Linked DNA regions of Macaca mulatta. The protein of the gene in region 1 purifies or fractionates together with the protein of each later gene. This does not show direct contact. Links are inferred from orthologs where the notes say so. Each region holds a gene or a part of one and is shown on either strand. Other genes may lie near its edges.

Region 1 (4,788 bases):
GCTGAAGTCCAAGAGACCTTGGCAGAAATGATCCGCCAGCACCAGAGGAGTCAACTCTGTAAATCCACAGCAAATGGTCCTGATAAGAATGAACTGGAAGTAGAAGCAGAGCAGCCCCTCTCCAGTTCTCAGAGCCAGTGGTAAGTACTGAGGCAAGTGCAAGATGGAATGAAAAATAACCCTGCTGACTAGGAACAGTGGCTCGTGCCTATAATCCCAGCACTTTGGGAGGCTGAAGCAGGAGGATCACTTGGCCCAGGAGTTTACCACCAGCCTGGGCAACAAAGTGAGACCCTGTCTCTACAAAAAAAAAAAAAAAAAAAAAAAGGCCAGGCACAGTGGATCACGCTTGTAATTCCAGCACTTTGGGAGGCTGAGGTGGGCGGATCACTTGAGGTCAGGAGTTTGAGACCAGCCTGGCCAACATGATGAACCCCATCTCTACTAAAAATACAAAAATTAGCCAGGTATGGTGGCACATGCCTGTAATCCCAGCTACTTGGGGAGCTGAGGCCAGAGAATCACTTGAACCTGGGCTGCAGAGGTTGCAGTGAGCCAAATTCACACCAATGCACTCCAACCTGGGCATCAGAGGGAGACTTCATCTCAAAAAGTACAAATAAAATAACCAGGTGTGGTAGCATATACCCTGTAGGTACTTAGGAGGCTGAGGCAGGAGGATCACTTGAGACCAGGAACTCAGGTTCAGCCTGGGCAACATATTGAGACCCTGTCTCTAGAAAAATTAATTTTTTAAAATTAGCCAGTTGTGGTGGCATGCACTTGTAGTCCTGGCTACTCAGGAGGCTGAGGTGGGAGGATCACTTAAGCCCAGGAGTTCGAGGCTGTAGTGAGATACGATTGTGCCACTCACATCAGCCTGGTTGACCCTGTCTCTACAAAAAAAAATTAAATTTTAAGAAGCCAGGTGACAAAGGAATTTTATTTATAAAATGAGATAAAAGTTACCCAGGCAGTGGCACATGTTCTCAGGACCTCCTGGGGGCTGTGTCATGGGCAAAAGTTTAAATTTTAAGAAAATTTAAAAAATAAAAGATAAAAGTTACCCAGGCATAACAAAAGATAATCCTGTTCAAGGATGGGCAAAGGGCTTGAATAGATATTTCTCTAAAAAGCCAGTAAGCACAGGAAATGATGCTCAATATCTGATCATTAGGGAATTGCAAATCAAAACTACAGTGAAGTAGCACTTCATAGCCATTAGGCTACTACCAGAGAAACAGAACAAGTGTTGGGGAGGATGCAGAGACCTTGGAATCCTTGTGCCTGTGGGTGGAAATGTAAAATGATGCAGCCACTGTGGAAAACAGTATAGCAGCAGTTCCTCCAGAAATGTAAAATAGAATGACCATAGGATCCAGCACTTCCACATCTGGGTATATACCCAAAAAAATTGAAAGCAGAGTCTGAAATATGTGCACACACCTGTGTTCATAGCAGCATTATTCGTAATACCCAAAACATGGGAGCAACCTAAGTATCCACTGACAGATGAATGGATAAGCAAAATGTGCCATATCTATATGATGGAATGTCATTCAGCCTTACAAAGGAAGGTCGTTATGCTGAGTGAAATAAGCCAGTCACGAAAAGACACACACTGTATGACTCCACTTATATGAGGTACTCAAAATAGTTAAAATCACAGAGACAGAAAGTAGAATGATATTGATAGGGGCTAAGAGAAGCAGAATGAGAAGTTACTGTTTAATGGGTATAAAATTTCAGTTTTACAAAACGACAAGAGTTTTGGAAATGGGTGGTGGGGATGTTTTTCACATTATGAATGTATTTAAAACCACTGAACTATATATGTTTAAATGGCTAAAATGGTAAGCTTTATGTTATATACATTTTACCACAGTAAAATCAATGGGAGAAAAATGTTACCCAGGGCAAGACATACAACTTACACCTTTTATTTTTTTCACTAGTAAAGAAGAAAAAAATGAGCCACTTTCTCTGCCTGAATTAACCAAAAGGCTTACAGAGGCAAATGAGAGAATGGCGAAATTTCCTGAGAGCATTAAGGTAAGAGTTAAAGCAGTTCATTTGGTAAAGCATCACTTTTTGTGTTATCACTTGACTATACCACGTTCTTATAGGTCAGCTACCTCTCTGTTCAGTTTCTAAAATCTCTACCCATTCATATGAGCTTAAGAATTTAGAATCCAATTACTTTGGTTAGCTAGGATGTTTTGTGAGAATAGAATTATTGATCACACAAGTAATTTTATACCTCAGTCTTCAGAGAAACTAAATAAATGTAATAGGTAAGAAGTAAAATTTAGATTGGTGCCATGTATTAGACAGCTTACAGATGGACAGGTCTTTTTGGCTGTGGGCCCAAATAGTAATAGAAGCACCATTTTTAAGGGTTGATTTGCATAGTGCTGTAGAAAGAGATTGTGCCATTGAGAAGGACATCCCAGCAACCATCCCAGTTTTCAGTGTCATTTCTCCTTGGAGTAACCGTTGAAGAGAAAGACAGGACATTGCCTTAGGAGAGAGCTGGATCAGCTGTGTCCAAGAAATGTCTATAGATGAACCTGATTCACTGGTGCCTTCTGTGAAGGTGTTTGTGGCTCCTTTGCAAATGCTTCCTTATTCATCCTCATGTCATCATCTTTCAGGCCTGGCCCTTCCCAGATGTGCTGGAGTGCTGCCTCGTCCTGCTTCTCATCAGGTCCCACTTTCCTGGGTGTCTGGCCCAGGAAATGCAGCAGCAGGCCCTAGAGCTTCTTCAGAAATACGGCAACACGAAAACTTACAAAAGACACTGCCAGACCTTCTGCACGTGAATTTTTACACACCTTGAAGAAACTGCCAAATTGAAAATGTTTGACACCTTTCACCTCTGCAGTTCCACCTCACCAGACATTCACTCTGGTCCCTAGCTGTTTTTGCAGTAATCCAAATGAATACAAACGAGGATTAAGTTTGAATCAACCCTGCCTACCCACAGACACAGTGGATCTGACTTTAGACTCAATTGTGGTCTCCTGCTGGAGGGAAGATCATGTAAAGCCCGCAGTAGTTATTCAGAACTAATACCTGCAGAGTGTTGGTCATCTCTACAGCCTTAGGCAGGTTTCATCCAAAGAGGAGAAACTTCTGTCATCACCCAAAGTGTTACATGCTTAAAACACAAGCTACCTTTATAAATACTTCATCTGATCAGAAATGTGTCATGCTTGTTTGAGATGGAGTTGCTGCATTTTAGGACTATTGATACTTTTTTAAAATTGTTTTTATAATATTTAATTTGAAAGCGGAGACCCTTCTCTGTCTTCTCTTTCATAGATTGAAGTTTGAATTTGAAATAGGCCTTAACCATCATGTTGACTCTCCTGTCAGAATTTTAGGTTGGAAATTTGGTTTTATTCTTTTATGTAATTGCTTATTTGAACAGATCATTTACTAAAGCTTTAGAAGAAGTGATTCAAATGTGTGTTTTCCCTTCAGTTTTATAACAGATGGATCGATGGCAGTCAAATAGCTCAGGAATAAATTACTGTTCCAATGGTTTTTAAACTTTCTTGGATTATAGGATCCTTTTGAGAATCAGATTAAAGCCAGAGATACTCTTTGGAGAAAAATGCATGTTCCTAATTTTGCATAGATGACCTTTGGATTTTTGGACTCTGACAGTTGGGACCCTAAATACTATTTAATTGTAAATCTTTTTTTTTTCTCCTCCTTGGTTATTTAAACAGTTGAACAGTGTCAGGAACAGATGTTTCGGTAATGTCACAGTTGCTAGGATGGGAAAATCACAGTCTGGCATGCGTGTGGGAAGGAATACGCCTTTCACATAATTGAACTGTTTTATCTAGGATTCATTGTGAAGGCTGTTCTGCTCACGTTTGTAGTTTATTTTTCAGTTAATTCCTAGGATTGGGATTGGGACAGTAAGAATGAAATTCATTTACAGGGAGTCCCAGGAAGGAAAATGTTTAAGGCAGTTTTCAAAGATGTGTATGTGCCTAGCATTAGCGTTTAATAAACTCTACAAAGGGAAATACTGTAGAATTTAGATCCTCACAGTTCATACAGTTAAGTGAACTTTAGGAAGATGATGCTTTCTTACTAGAGATGGAGAATCTTTCTTGATTGAAAAGATATAAATAGGCATGGCTAGGTGGAAAACTGGACACCAGTTCTACAAACTGCTAAAATGAACTTTGCTTACAGAGGTGGAAAAAATATATAGTCCATTCCACTTGAGTAAAGAGTGATATTGTTAAACTAGAATTCTAAATTCATTTGTGATCTGTCGGAAGCATCACCTGTGGCTAGAAGGGTCCTGCTCACTCCTCAGTTACTGCTTTGGTAAGAACAAGATTTACTATTTGAGTCCGGGCGGGGTGGCTCATGCCTGTAATCCCAACACTTTGAGAGGCCAAGGCAAGTGAATCACTTGAGGACCGGAGTTTGAGACCAACTGGGCAGTATATATGGAGGCAGTATATATTTGAGACGAACATTTGGTAGTATATATGGAGGGACTGAATTGCACTCAGTTGCCTGGTGCTATGGTGCAAACCTATACTCTAGATACTATGGAGGTTGAGGCGGGAGGATTGCTTGAAGCCAGGAGTTCAGGGCCAGCCTGGGCAACATAGCAAACTCCCATCTCTATAAGTAATAAATAAAATTTTTAAAATGAATTATGGCCAGGCACAGTGGCTCATACCTGTAATCCTAGCAGTTTGGGAGGCCAAGGCAGGCAGATCACCTGAGGTCAGGAGTTCAAAACCAGCCTGG
Region 2 (5,661 bases), on another chromosome or scaffold:
CGTGGTCTCCATCTCCTGACCTTGTGATCCGCCCGCCTCGGCCTCCCAAAGTGCTGGGATTACAGGCGTGAGCCACCGCGCCCGGCCACTAGTTATTTATTTATGAGACAGTTTTGCTCTGTTGCCCAGGCTAGAGTGCAGTGGCGTGATTTTAGCTCACTGCAACCTCTGATTCAAGCAGTTCTCCTGCCTCAGCCTCTCAAGTAGCTGGGGGTACAGGGATGCGCCACCACGCCTGGCTAGTTTTGTATTTTTAGTAGAGATGGGGTTTCACCATTTTGGCCAGGCTGGTTTCGAACTCCTAGCCTCAGGTGATCCACCCCCCTTGGCCTCCCAGAGTGCTGGGATTACAGGTGTGAGCCACCATGCCTGGTAGCCAGGTACTTTTTTTTTTTCTTTTGAGACGGAGTATCGCTCTGTTGCCCAGGCTGTAGTGCAGTGGCACGATCTTGGCTCACTGCAACCTCTGCCTCCTGGGGTTCCAGGGATTCTCCTGCCTCAGCCTCCTGGGTAGCTGGGATTACAGGCATGCGCTACCATGCCTGGCTAATTTTTGTATTTTTTGTAAAGGGGGTTTCACCATGTTGGTCGGGATGGTCTCAAACTCCTAACCTTGTGATCTGCCTGCCTCGGCCTCCCAAAGTGTTGGGATTACAGGCGTGAGCCACCGCACCCCACCAGCCAGTTCCTATTTAATGTGTAGTTGGTGAGACCTTGAAGAACTGCCTTGGCCCTCAGAGGGTGTGCAGTTGTGGGCTTTGGAGCCCTGTTCTGTCAGCTCATGTTGTTTCAGGCCTGGTCCTCTTCACTGGCACTCATCAGCAGGGCCTTGTCATCACTCATTCCCATCACATCCTCTGGCAGTTTGTTCAATGCAAGTGATACTTGGAGCTGTGAGAAGCAATGTGTTTTCTAAACACTGTATTCTTAAGCTAGATGTCACCCGTACCAGTGCTTTTTAAACTGTTTTTGGTGAAGGATAGATACTATTTCCAATCTGTTTGCTTTTGGTATATATGATAGAATTACTTTTTAAAGAAAGACCTCAGACAGGGGTTCGAGACCAGCCAGGCCAACATGGTGAAACCCCCATCTCTACTAAAAATGCAAAAACTAGCCAACATGCTGTCGTGTGCGTGTAAGCCAAGGTACTCAGGAGGCTTAGGCAGGAGAACCGCTTGAAGGATTCTAGTCGGTTCCTGGGTTCCTTTTAGAGACACAGAAACACAGAGGGGAAAGTGGGGTTTAGAATCGCTTGAACCCGGGAAGCAGAGGTTGCAGTGAGCTCAGATCGCACCATTGCACTCCAGTCTGGGCAGCAGAGCACGACTTCGTCTCAAAAAAAAAAAAAAAAAGACCTGCAGAATAAAAGACCAAATTTATATTACAGTCAGTGGACATCAAACTGTGAAATTACTGTAGAAGTTTCTGAACACTTACTCATGGTTTCTGTACTTACCTGTACTTATCACAGTCCAGCAACAGTTTGGATAGTACTGGTCCATGGACCATGCTTAGTTTTTGAGACAGGGTCTTATTCTGTCACCCAGGCTGGAGTGCAGTGTCACAATCATGGCTCACGGCAGCCTTAACCTCTGGTGCCCAAAAGATTCTTCCCCCCTCAGCCTCCCTAGTAGCTGGGACTATAGGTGTGTGCCATTACACCTGGCTAATTTTTAAATTTTTTGTAGAGATGGTGTTTCACTGTTTCCCAGGCTAGTCTGAAACCCCTAGGCTCAAGCATTCTTCCTGTGTCGTCCTCCCAAAGTGCTGGGATTACAAGTGGAAAGCCACTGTGCGTGGCTGCAGACCATGCTTTGATCTGTGCCACTCCCCTCCCTGCACTGTGACAGGGGAAGTGTGAGTGGATGTTTATTTTTGTAGGGGGTGGGGGTGGGAGGGTTGACCTGCTTATTTCTTTGGTGAGTGACCCTTGCCATTTCCCCTAGTCCTTCCCACCCTGTCACCTCTCTTCTTGTTCCCAGGACCCTCGAGATGCCCCGCCTCCAACTCGTGCAGAAACCCGAGAGGAGCGCATGGAGAGGAAAGTATGTCATTGTTGCTTCCTGACCCCCTGTTTTGCCACTGTTTCCAAATGGTCCTTGACACTAGGACACTTCTATCTGCATTTACTTCTCTACTTTCCCTTTCTCTTGACAGAGACGGGAAAAGATTGAGCGGCGACAGCAAGAAGTGGAGACAGAGCTTAAAATGTGTAAGTCTCTCATCCACCATTCGGCTCTCTCCTCCCCCAAACCCTCTGTGTTCTTCCCAGGTCATACCCAGGACCCTGCTGTCACCCAAAGCCTGTTTTGCAGGGAGCAGGGTTGTTAGTTCATTTATTTAGCCCCTGCCACTTGGCAAGCACTGTTTTTGGTTTAGGCTTTTCAGCAGCAGAACATAGGGTAAAAGTTGGCAGGAAGGGAGACCCCAGTACCTTGGGCTCCTCCTGCAGGGGAGGACAGTTAAGGGACTCCCACAACCTAGCTGGGAGTCACAGGCTGAGGCGATGAGTTGTGGGCGAGTGGATCTGTCCTGGCTCTAACGTTAGCTCCTCAACCCTTGGGCTGAGGTTGTTCCATCCCCTCCACATAGAGGAGGAATTGGAGTACAAGACAGATATATTGTTGCCATTAAGCAAACTCATAAGAGGGTCAGATGTCAACCTCCAGTGGCTCTTTATTGTGAGGGTGAAAACTGTACAGTCACACGCAGCATAACAGTGTTTCAGTCAGCAGGGGACTGTGGGTGTGATGGTGATCCTATAAGATTATACCATATTTTCCCGAGTGCAGTGGCTCACTTCTGTAATCCCAGCACTTTGGGAGACCGAGGCGGGTGGATCATGAGGTCGGGAGTTCAAGACCAGCCTGGCCAACATGGTGAAATCCTGTCTCTACTAAAAGTACAAAAATTAGCCGGGCGTGGTGGCGGGCTCCTGTAATCCCAGCTGCTTGGGAGACTGAGGCAGGAGAATCTCCGGAAGGCGGAGGTTGCAGTGAGCCGAGATCGCGTCCGCTCTCTGCAACCCAGCCTGGGCAACAAGACCGAAAATCCATCTAAAAAAAAAAAAATTATACCATATTTTTACTGTACCTTTTCTATGCTTAGATACGTTTAGATGCACAAATACTTAGTATTGTGTTAGGGTTGCTGTAGTATTTGGCGTAGTAACATGCTTGGCCTCGGAGCAGTGGGACGCACCCTCTAGCCCGGGAGTGTTGTGAGGTATACCATCTAGGCTCGCGGAAGTGCCGTCTCATGTTTGCATATCGATATCACCATCAAATGACGCACTTCTCAGAACATGACATGACTCTAGTGAGAAGACAGGTTTTCCTCCTATACCTGTGAACTTCAATGAATCCCTTTCCTCCAAATCCTGGAGTGCAGGGTTTCCTCAGGGTGCTTACACAGAAGTGTGACAGAGGCATCTGGTGGTGCACTCTTTGGACACTGGCTGTCAGAACGCTGCCTTGATGTCCTTCCTCAGATGCCTCAGAGGCATCTCAGAATCAGTGTCCAAACCACAGGGGTTTTCCCTTGCCGCCAACCTGGTTTCCTTTGGGTGTTTTCTCTGGGACGTAGACATTCAAGTGTGCTGGTCATGACCTCATTTTTTGCCATGCAATTTGTTTCTAACACCTTTTCTAATCCTTTGCTCAGTCTCTCACCAAGACCTATTTGTGTTACTTTCTAAGTGTCACAAACCTGACTCTTCTTTTTGTGTCTATCACCACCACCCAGGTCACCTCTTGCCTGGACAGCACAGTCACAGTCTGCTATAACTAGTTTACCTATGTCTTTTTTTTTTTTTTTGAGAGAGAGCCTCGCTCTGTCGCCAGGCTGCAGTGGCGCGATCTTGGCTCACCGCAGCCTCCGCCTCCCGGATTCAAGTGATTCTCCTGCCTCAGCCCCCCAAGTAGCTGGAACTACAGGCGTGTGTGTCACCACGCCCAACTAATTTTTGTATTTTTAGTAGAGACAGAGTTTCAGCATGTTGGCCAGGATCGTCTAGATCTCTTGACCTTGAGATCTGCCCGCCTAGGCCTCCCACAGTGCTGGGGTTACAGGCATGAGCCACTGTGCCTAGCCCTCCCTGCCATTTTTTTTTTTTTTTTTTTTTTTTTGAGACGGAGTCACACTCTCTCACCCGGGCTGGAGTGCAATGGTACTATCTTGGCTCACTGCAACCTCTACCTCCCGGGTTCAAGCAATTCTCCTGCCTCAGCCTCCTGAGCAGCTGGGACTATAGGTGTGCGCCACCATGCCCGGCTAATTTTTGTAATTTTAGTAGAGATGGAGTTTCACTGTATTGGCCAGGCTGGTCTCGAACTTCTGACCTTGTGATCCACCTGCCTCAACCTCCCAAGGTGCTGAGATTACAGGCGTGAGCCATTGCACCCAGCCTAGTTTATCTATGTCTTAACCAACCAAAATCCACTGTGGGTCTTTTTTTTTTTCCCTTTTCTAGAAAAACTTTAAAATTGAGATGGGATCTCACTATGGTGCCCAGGCTGGTCTTGAATTCCTGGGCTCAAGTGATCCTCCTGCCTCGGCCTCCCAAAGTGCTGGGATTACAGGTGTGAGCCACCATACCCAGCCAAAAATGTTCTTTGAAGCGATTCTTCTGCCTCCTGAGTAGCTGGGATTATAGGCATGCGCCACCATGCCTGGCTAATTTTGTATTTTTAGTAGAGATGGAGTTTCTCCATGTTGGTCAGGCTGTTTTTGAACTCCTGACCTCAGGTGATCCGCCCGCCTCAGCCTCCCAAAGTGTTGGGATTACAGGCGTGAGCCACCACACCCGGCCAGAAATGCTTTTTAAAAACAGTTCCGCCCGGGCATGGTGGCTTACGCCTGTAATCCTGCAAGGCAGATGGGTCACCTGAGGTCAGGAGTTCAAGACCAACCTGGCCAACATGGTGAAACCCTGTCTCTACCAAGAATACAAAAATTAGCTGGATGTGGTGGCATGCACCTGTAATCCCAGCCACCTAGGAGGCTGAGGCAGGACAATCGCTTGAACCTGGGAGGCGGAGGTTGCAGTGAGCCGAGATCACGCCATTGCACTCCAGCCTGGGTGACAGAGCAAGACTGCGTCTCAAAAAAAAAAAAAAAAGTTCCAGGCTGGGCACAGAGGCTCACGCCTATAATCGCAGCACCTTTGGGAGGCCGAGGCGGGCAGATCACCTGAGGTTAGGGGTTTGAGACCAGCCTGGCCAACATGGTGAAACCCTGTCTCTACTAAAAATATATATATATAAAAAACCAAACTAGCCAGGCGTTGTTGTGGGCTCCTGTAATCCCAGCTACTCGGGAGGCTGAGGCACGAGAATTGCTTGAACACGGGAGGCGGAGGTTGCAGTGAGCCGAGATCGCGCCACTGCACTCCAGCCTGGGCAATAAGAGCAAAACTCCATCTCAAAACAAACAAACAAACAAGTTCCAATTGAGGAATTTGGACACTGGATCATAGATGAGGTTAAGGAATTAGTAAATATTAGCTCTTTAAGATGTAATAGTGGCACTGTGGTTATGATGTTTAAAAGTCTTTATTAGAGACCAAAGTGGTGTGCTATCTTGAATTTCATTTAAAATAATTCAGCTGGTCGCGGTGGCTCACGCCTGTAATCACAGCACTCTGGGAGGCTGAGGTGG
Region 3 (6,437 bases), on another chromosome or scaffold:
GCATTTGGGCTAGTTTGGTCTGGTTGGAGGAGGTAGGTGTGCTGCTCTGCCAGAGAAGAGACAGGGATCCCACTGTTATTTATCTGGGGGAGGCTGGGAGACAGACACAATCTAGCCCATTTCTGTATGTGTTATCCTGTGCCTTACCTAGTTATTAAATGATCTCTTGCTTTTGTGTTTTGTCTTTATAGTACTAAAAATTATGGTCAACAACACTGTTACAACTTTTGACTAGTGAGAAAAAAATTTTTGTGTTATTCACCATGGTTCCCAATAATTTACTGCAATATTTGTGTCTGTAAAACATCATAAACAACAAATGCAGCAACAGAATGCCTATAAAACTATAAATGTTTTCTGGAAATGCAGTCTTTTTGCTTTTCTTGGGATAATCCTGTGGTTCTTCAGTGGTGACTGATGTGAGTTCGACAGAACCACTGCTATGTGCATGGAGATCCAGCAGAGATTTTTGAGCAAGGTGTCAGCCATTCAATGTTTACTGGGTCCACCAGGTGCTTGGTGCTGGGCCAGAGGGTCTAGGATGACAAAATTACTGTCCTTGAGAAGCTCATAGTTTATTTAGTGTGAGGCACATACAAGTAACCAAGCAAATAAAACATAAGAGCCAGACTGGAATTATTGATAGTGTGCTGTGGGACCCTGGGGTGGGGAATAAAAAAGGGTGTCAAAAGGAGCAGGATCTGGTGCTGGACCCAAAGAGCCTAAGATATCCACTTAAGAAAGATCACTGGCCGGGCGCGGTGGCTCAAGCCTGTAATCCCAGCACTTTGGGAGGCCGAGGCGGGCGGATCACGAGGTCAGGAGATCGAGACCATCCTGGCTAACACGGTGAAACCCTGTCTCTACTAAAAAATACAAAAAACTAGCCGGGCGAGATGGCGGGCACCTGTAGTCCCAACTAATCGGGAGGCTGAGGCAGGAGAATGGCATGAATCTGGGAGGCGGAGCTTGCAATGAGCTGAGATCTGGCCACTGCACTCTAGCCTGGGCGACAGAGCGAGACTCCGTCTCAAAAAAAAAAAAAAAAAAAAAAAAAAAAAGAAAGAAAGATCACTGCAGCACCTGTGGGGTACACGGCTGGGATAGAGAAGAAACTCTGGCCAGGCAGACCATTCAGGAGGTTTTTGCAAATTAGGATGATACAGGGACCTAAAATAGGGCAGATGCTATGGAGACTTAAGAAGAATGGATGAAATATTTGGAGGCAAAATTACTTGTGCTCGGTAAATTGTTAGAAAGTGGGGAAGGAGTCAAGAATAATTCCCAAGTTTGGGGTCTGGGGATTAGGCAGATAAAAGAGGTGAGGGCACTAAGAGGAAGGCTGGGACCTTTAGTGCCATCTCCTCCATCAGTCTCCATTCCTTCAAACGGATAGTTGACATTTTCTCAATGTTTTGTAAATTTCCAGGCAATATAAACCGTCAGGACCACCTTCCAATGGGATTACCATGTCAAAGCCCCTCCTCTATCATAGGGAATCTGGACCATCACTGTGTGTGTGTGTGTGAAGGGGTTAGGGACAATGACCAGTATTATAATCTATGGACAAAGTTGGGCTTGGTTGCAGAATATATTTAAGTTTGGTATTCTTCGTATTTTAAAAAATTTGTTTACTTTTTAAGAATTTGAGACAGGGTCTCTGCATGTTGCCCAGGCTGGCAACTCCTGGCCTCAAGCGATCCTCCCGTCTCAGCCTCCCAAGAAGCTGGGATTACAGGTGCGAGCCACCCCATACAGCTAAGTTTGGAATAATGAATATGGCTGAGGTCCAGAAATATTTAAATTTGGCATGATGACTAAGAGTTTGTTATAGGAGCTCAATCATTTGATAAATATTGAACAATTCCTATGTGTCAGATTGCTTTTCCCACTAGGGATGCAGAGGAGAACAAGACAAAATGGGTCCTTGTCCTCATAGAGTGTGGGAGACAGGCAGTAGACATATAATTTCAGGTAGTTGTAAGTATCATAAAGAAAAAATAAAGCAAAACAAAACAAGAGAGTGCTGGGAAAGACCAGGGAGCAGACAGGATGACAGAGCTGTCTTAGGGTGTTCAAGACTTCTTTTAAAAGGCAGAGCTCTTTGAAAAGGTGATATTTGGGCAGAAGTCCACAGCAAGGAAAAGTGGCAGAGACTCCTAGCCGCCTACGCATGAAATGATGGGGAAAGGAGCAATACAGAAGGCATGTAACATTTCAGAGTCTATTAGGCATCCGAGGGGAGGTGCTGCGGAGGTGGATGCATGGAGGCAGATGGATGTACACGTCTAGAGTCTAAAGGGAGATCTGAGGCGGAGATATGAACTTGGGAAATGTCAGTCCGGTTCCAGGTTCCAATTCAACGTACTTTTATCAGAGTTCACTGTGCGCCAGGGACTTGCTAGGGGCTGAAGGTCCGGAGATAAATTGGGTTGCACAGCAGACGGACACACCAGTCAACGTAGTAAACCCTTGGGCCCGGCTACGCTCTGGGCGCACTCTGCCAGCACAGAGGAGCAGCGACTCAGGGTGCAGAGCGGGTAGCGCTGGGGAAGAGGCGGCCGCGGAACGGGACAGGCTGGCGGAACGGAAAACGGAAGCACGGGGCGGGGGCGTGACGCAACGGGCACATCACAAAGAGCGCCGAGAGGGCGGTGGCGCCGGGGGCACGGCTTGGCGGCTCCGCCCAGAAGAGGGCCGAGAGGCGGGGCGGCGCCCCCACCGCGGGCCCGCGGCGCCCTCTGCAGGCCCCAGGCAGCGACTTAACAGTTGCCTCATCTTTCCTCTCCTCCCTCATGCTGCTTTCCTCAGGCCACATTTTTTGTGTGTGTGGGTAGTGTTCCCTAGTCTCTCAGCCTCCGACTCCCGTCCCTTTCCTCCACTTCCAAGCCAGGCGTGTTAGTGTCTTCGTGGGAAAACTGCCAATAAAGTTTTTCCTTTTCTCGCTCCCAGGATCCCCGCTTCTCTTCAAGCACCGCGAGATCTGACTGTGCGGCTAGCATGGCGGCGGCGTTTGAAGCCCTGGGAGCCGTAGCGGCAGTGGCTACTGCTATGCCAGCTGAGCATGTGGCCGTGCACGTCCCGGCCCCAGAGCCAACACCTGGGCCTATGAGGAGCCTGCGGACCGCTCAGGATCTCGGCAGCCCGCGGACCCGCACGGGGGACGTGCTGTTGGCGGAGCCGGCCGACTTCGAGTCACTGCTGCTTTCGCGGTCGGTGCTGGAGGGGCTGCGGGCAGCCGGCTTCGAGAGGCCCTCGCCGGTGCAGCTCAAGGCCATCCCGCTGGGGCGCTGCGGGCTCGGTGAGAGCGGGGGCCCGGGAGAGTTCGGGGGTCGGGGCGGGAGAAGGGCGACTGAGGGGCGGCAGCGGCAGCCAGGCCCGCACTGCAGCTCGGGGAGAGCCCTCGGTCGGCTCCCGGAGCAGGGCCCGGCCTGGGGCTAGGCGGTACGCTCAGTTAACTTATTTGTAAAACTAAGGTGCACTATTGAACTTGAAGATGGTTAAGACCTTTTTTAGCACTGACAGGTGGTTCTAAGTTTGAGAAGATAAACGGTAAAAGGTCAGGGACTAGGCGTTTTCTCTTACGTTTTTGAGAATCAACTAAAAATGAAGGTGCCAACTGGGAGAATCTCAGAGACCCTTCTAGTTCTCTGATTCCATGCGAGCCCCTAAGCTGCTTCCGTGAGTACTGGCTAGTGATAATTTTTTTTTTTTTTTCCTTCGCAGATTTAATTGTTCAAGCTAAATCTGGCACTGGGAAAACCTGTGTGTTTTCCACCATAGCTTTGGACTCTCTTGTTCTTGAAAACTTAAGTACCCAGGTGAGTTAGCTCAGAGGACCAGAGGAGGATGTGTTACGTGGACTTTACCACAGGTCAGATGAAATACCAGTAGCCCCTCAGAGCTGGAATTGAATTTGATGAATGATTGAGTTAAGTGGTGGTGGTGGTGAACTTTGGAATTTTCTATGCGTACCTTATTTAAATAGAATAAAGCTACCATACGTGTCAGTTTTCTCACTACTTGGTAATACAGACAGGGATTCTTTTACTTACTGACTAATGTGATACTTAACATTTGACTTGATTCATGGTAATGTAGTGCTCTGGCTATTGCTGATAACTGCAGGGTTTGTTTTTGTTTTTTGAGAGGGTATGGCTCTGTCACCTAGGCTGGAGTGCAGTGGCGGATCATTGCTCACTGCAACCTTGAACTCCTGGGCTCCAGTGATCCTCCCACCTCATCTTCCTAAGTAGTTGAGACGACAGGTGTGTGCCACCACACCTGGCTACTTTTTGTAGAGATGGGGTCTCCTCAGTGTTGCACAGACCGGCCTCGAACTCCTGGGTTCAAGCAGTCCTCCCACATTTGCCTCCCAAAGTACTGGGATTATAGGCATGAGCCACCACACCCGGTATGCAGGTGGTTCTTAAAGCTCTGTAAATGTATCATATTCATCTCCCATCTTCTAGGTTGTCTTAGAGTGTTTCTAAGATTACCCTACCCAAATTAGCAGGAAATTTGGGTTTGGGGATCATTTCTTCAACAAAGATTTGTTGAGCCCATATTACGTATGAACAGTATGTCAGGCATTGGAGATTCAAAGATGAATTAGATGTGATTCTCATAACCTTACTTTGTAGTTTAGTTGTTATGGCAGACTGTATTTCAAGTTCTCAGGCATTGGTATATCTGATGATGAGTCTTCAACAGTGGTTTTTAATCCAGATATCCATGTTCATCACCTGGGAAGCTTTTTGAGTCCATCTTATATCTGCCAAATCCTAGGTGATGTTGCATATTGGAAATCCTCCTACTTCCCAAGAACCTGAGCTAGTCTAATTGTAGACGAAGATGTATTTGAGGTTTTGGCTTCTGATAATTTGGCAACAGATAAAATGCTAAAATCCTGGAAAAGTTTCATAAATTCGTTTTTTTGAGTCTCACTCTGTTGCCCAGGCTGGATTGTGCAGTGGCACAATCTTGGCTCACTGCAACTTCTGCCTCCTGGGTTCAAGTGATTCTCCTGCCTCAGCCTCCCGAGTAGCTGGGATTACAACTGTGCATACCACATGCCCGGCTAGTTTTTTTGTAATTTTGGTAGAGACGGGGTTTCGCCATGTTAGCCAGGCTGGTCTCAAACTCCTGACCTCAGGTAATCCGCCTGCCTCAGCCTCCCAACCTGCTGGGATCACAGGGGTGAGCCACCATGCCTGGCAAATTCATATTTTTAATTTCAGATCTTTGGATTATCACAGTTACATTATTTTTTGTGTGTGTAACAAAGTAATACCTATTAATTTTTAGAAATAGGGAAAGTTCAGGAAAATTAGGAAGTACCAGAAAACAAGATCTGTAATTTCACTACCTAGAGAGAAACTGCTATTAACAGTTTTGGCATATTTTCTCCTAGTCCTTTTTTTTTTTTAATCAATTTTTTCTTCTCGTAGTTAAGAGCACAAAAGTTTTGTTTTCTCCTTCTCCAGTAGCTACATTGCAAAGTTTTTACCGTGGCTCTCAAGGCCTTTTGTGATCTAGTCCCTGGAGCTAGATCTCTGACCTCCTTTACTTTCCCCCAGATTCTGTCATGTAGGCCTTCTTTTTCTTCCTCAAACACACCAAGAACACTGCCATCTTATGGCCTTTGCATTTGTTGTTTCCTGTTGGTGAAAACGCTTCCCCAGGTGTCATATAGCCAGCTCTACTCTATGCCGTACATGTAGGTCTCTGCTCAAGTGTTACCTCCTTAGAGGAGGGTTCATGATCACCTCATTTAAAATGACTCCTTCGAAACCATCATTCTTAGCAAACTATCACAAGAACAGAAAACCAAACACCGCATGTTCTCACTCATAGGTGGGAACTGAACAATGAGATCACTTGGACCCGGGAAGGGGAACATCACACACCGGGGCCTATCATGGGGAGGGGGGAGGGGGGAGGGATTGCATTGGGAGTTATACCTGATGTAAATGACGAGTTGATGGGTGCTGACGAGTTGATGGGTGCAGCACAGCAACATGGCACAAGTATACATATGTAACAAACCTGCACGTTATGCACATGTATCCTAGAACTTAAAGTATAATAATTAAAAAAAGTAAATAAAAATAAAATAAAATAAAATGACTCCTTCTTTCCCTGTTTGATTTTTTATGATACTTTTCATTACCTGTCATTACTTATTTTTGTTTATTGTATATATTCTTATCCAAGAATGAAAGTACTGTGAGGGCAAAGACTTTACACTGTTAACTGTTGATTCCCCAGAAACTAGTATGTTGCCTAGCACAGAGTAGGTTCTTACTTAATATTTGTTGAATGAATGAATAAATGGAATACAGTCAGCCCTCCCTGTCTTCAGGTTGTGTATCAGCTGATGCAGCCAACTGTGGATCAAAAATACTTAGGGGTGGGGTGGGGGAACTATAAAAAAT

The links.
Region 2: the proteins of GEMIN5 (region 1) and SNRNP70 purify together in Homo sapiens (affinity purification with mass spectrometry; 4 studies listed by BioGRID and IntAct, counting the BioPlex papers as one, with this or other methods). This does not show direct contact. The link is inferred for Macaca mulatta from reciprocal best matches to the Homo sapiens genes GEMIN5 and SNRNP70.
Region 3: the proteins of GEMIN5 (region 1) and DDX20 purify together in Homo sapiens (affinity purification with western blotting; 6 studies listed by BioGRID and IntAct, counting the BioPlex papers as one, with this or other methods). This does not show direct contact. The link is inferred for Macaca mulatta from reciprocal best matches to the Homo sapiens genes GEMIN5 and DDX20.

Annotation. Positions count from the first base shown.
Region 1 is NC_133411.1:163,755,390-163,760,177, reverse strand, and holds the end of GEMIN5 (gem-associated protein 5), read left to right. Parts: coding exon 1-140; intron 141-1,955; coding exon 1,956-2,052; intron 2,053-2,654; coding exon 2,655-2,822; 3' UTR 2,823-3,462; downstream 3,463-4,788. UniProt on the Homo sapiens protein: The SMN complex catalyzes the assembly of small nuclear ribonucleoproteins (snRNPs), the building blocks of the spliceosome, and thereby plays an important role in the splicing of cellular pre-mRNAs.
Region 2 is NC_133424.1:61,537,673-61,543,333, forward strand, and holds part of SNRNP70 (U1 small nuclear ribonucleoprotein 70 kDa), read left to right. Parts: intron 1-1,985; coding exon 1,986-2,048; intron 2,049-2,160; coding exon 2,161-2,215; intron 2,216-2,787; exon of another isoform or gene 2,788-3,846; intron 3,847-5,387; exon of another isoform or gene 5,388-5,661. UniProt on the Homo sapiens protein: Component of the spliceosomal U1 snRNP, which is essential for recognition of the pre-mRNA 5' splice-site and the subsequent assembly of the spliceosome. SNRNP70 binds to the loop I region of U1-snRNA.
Region 3 is NC_133406.1:128,481,102-128,487,538, reverse strand, and holds the start of DDX20 (putative ATP-dependent RNA helicase DDX20), read left to right. Parts: upstream 1-2,978; 5' UTR 2,979-3,000; coding exon 3,001-3,301; intron 3,302-3,726; coding exon 3,727-3,821; intron 3,822-6,437.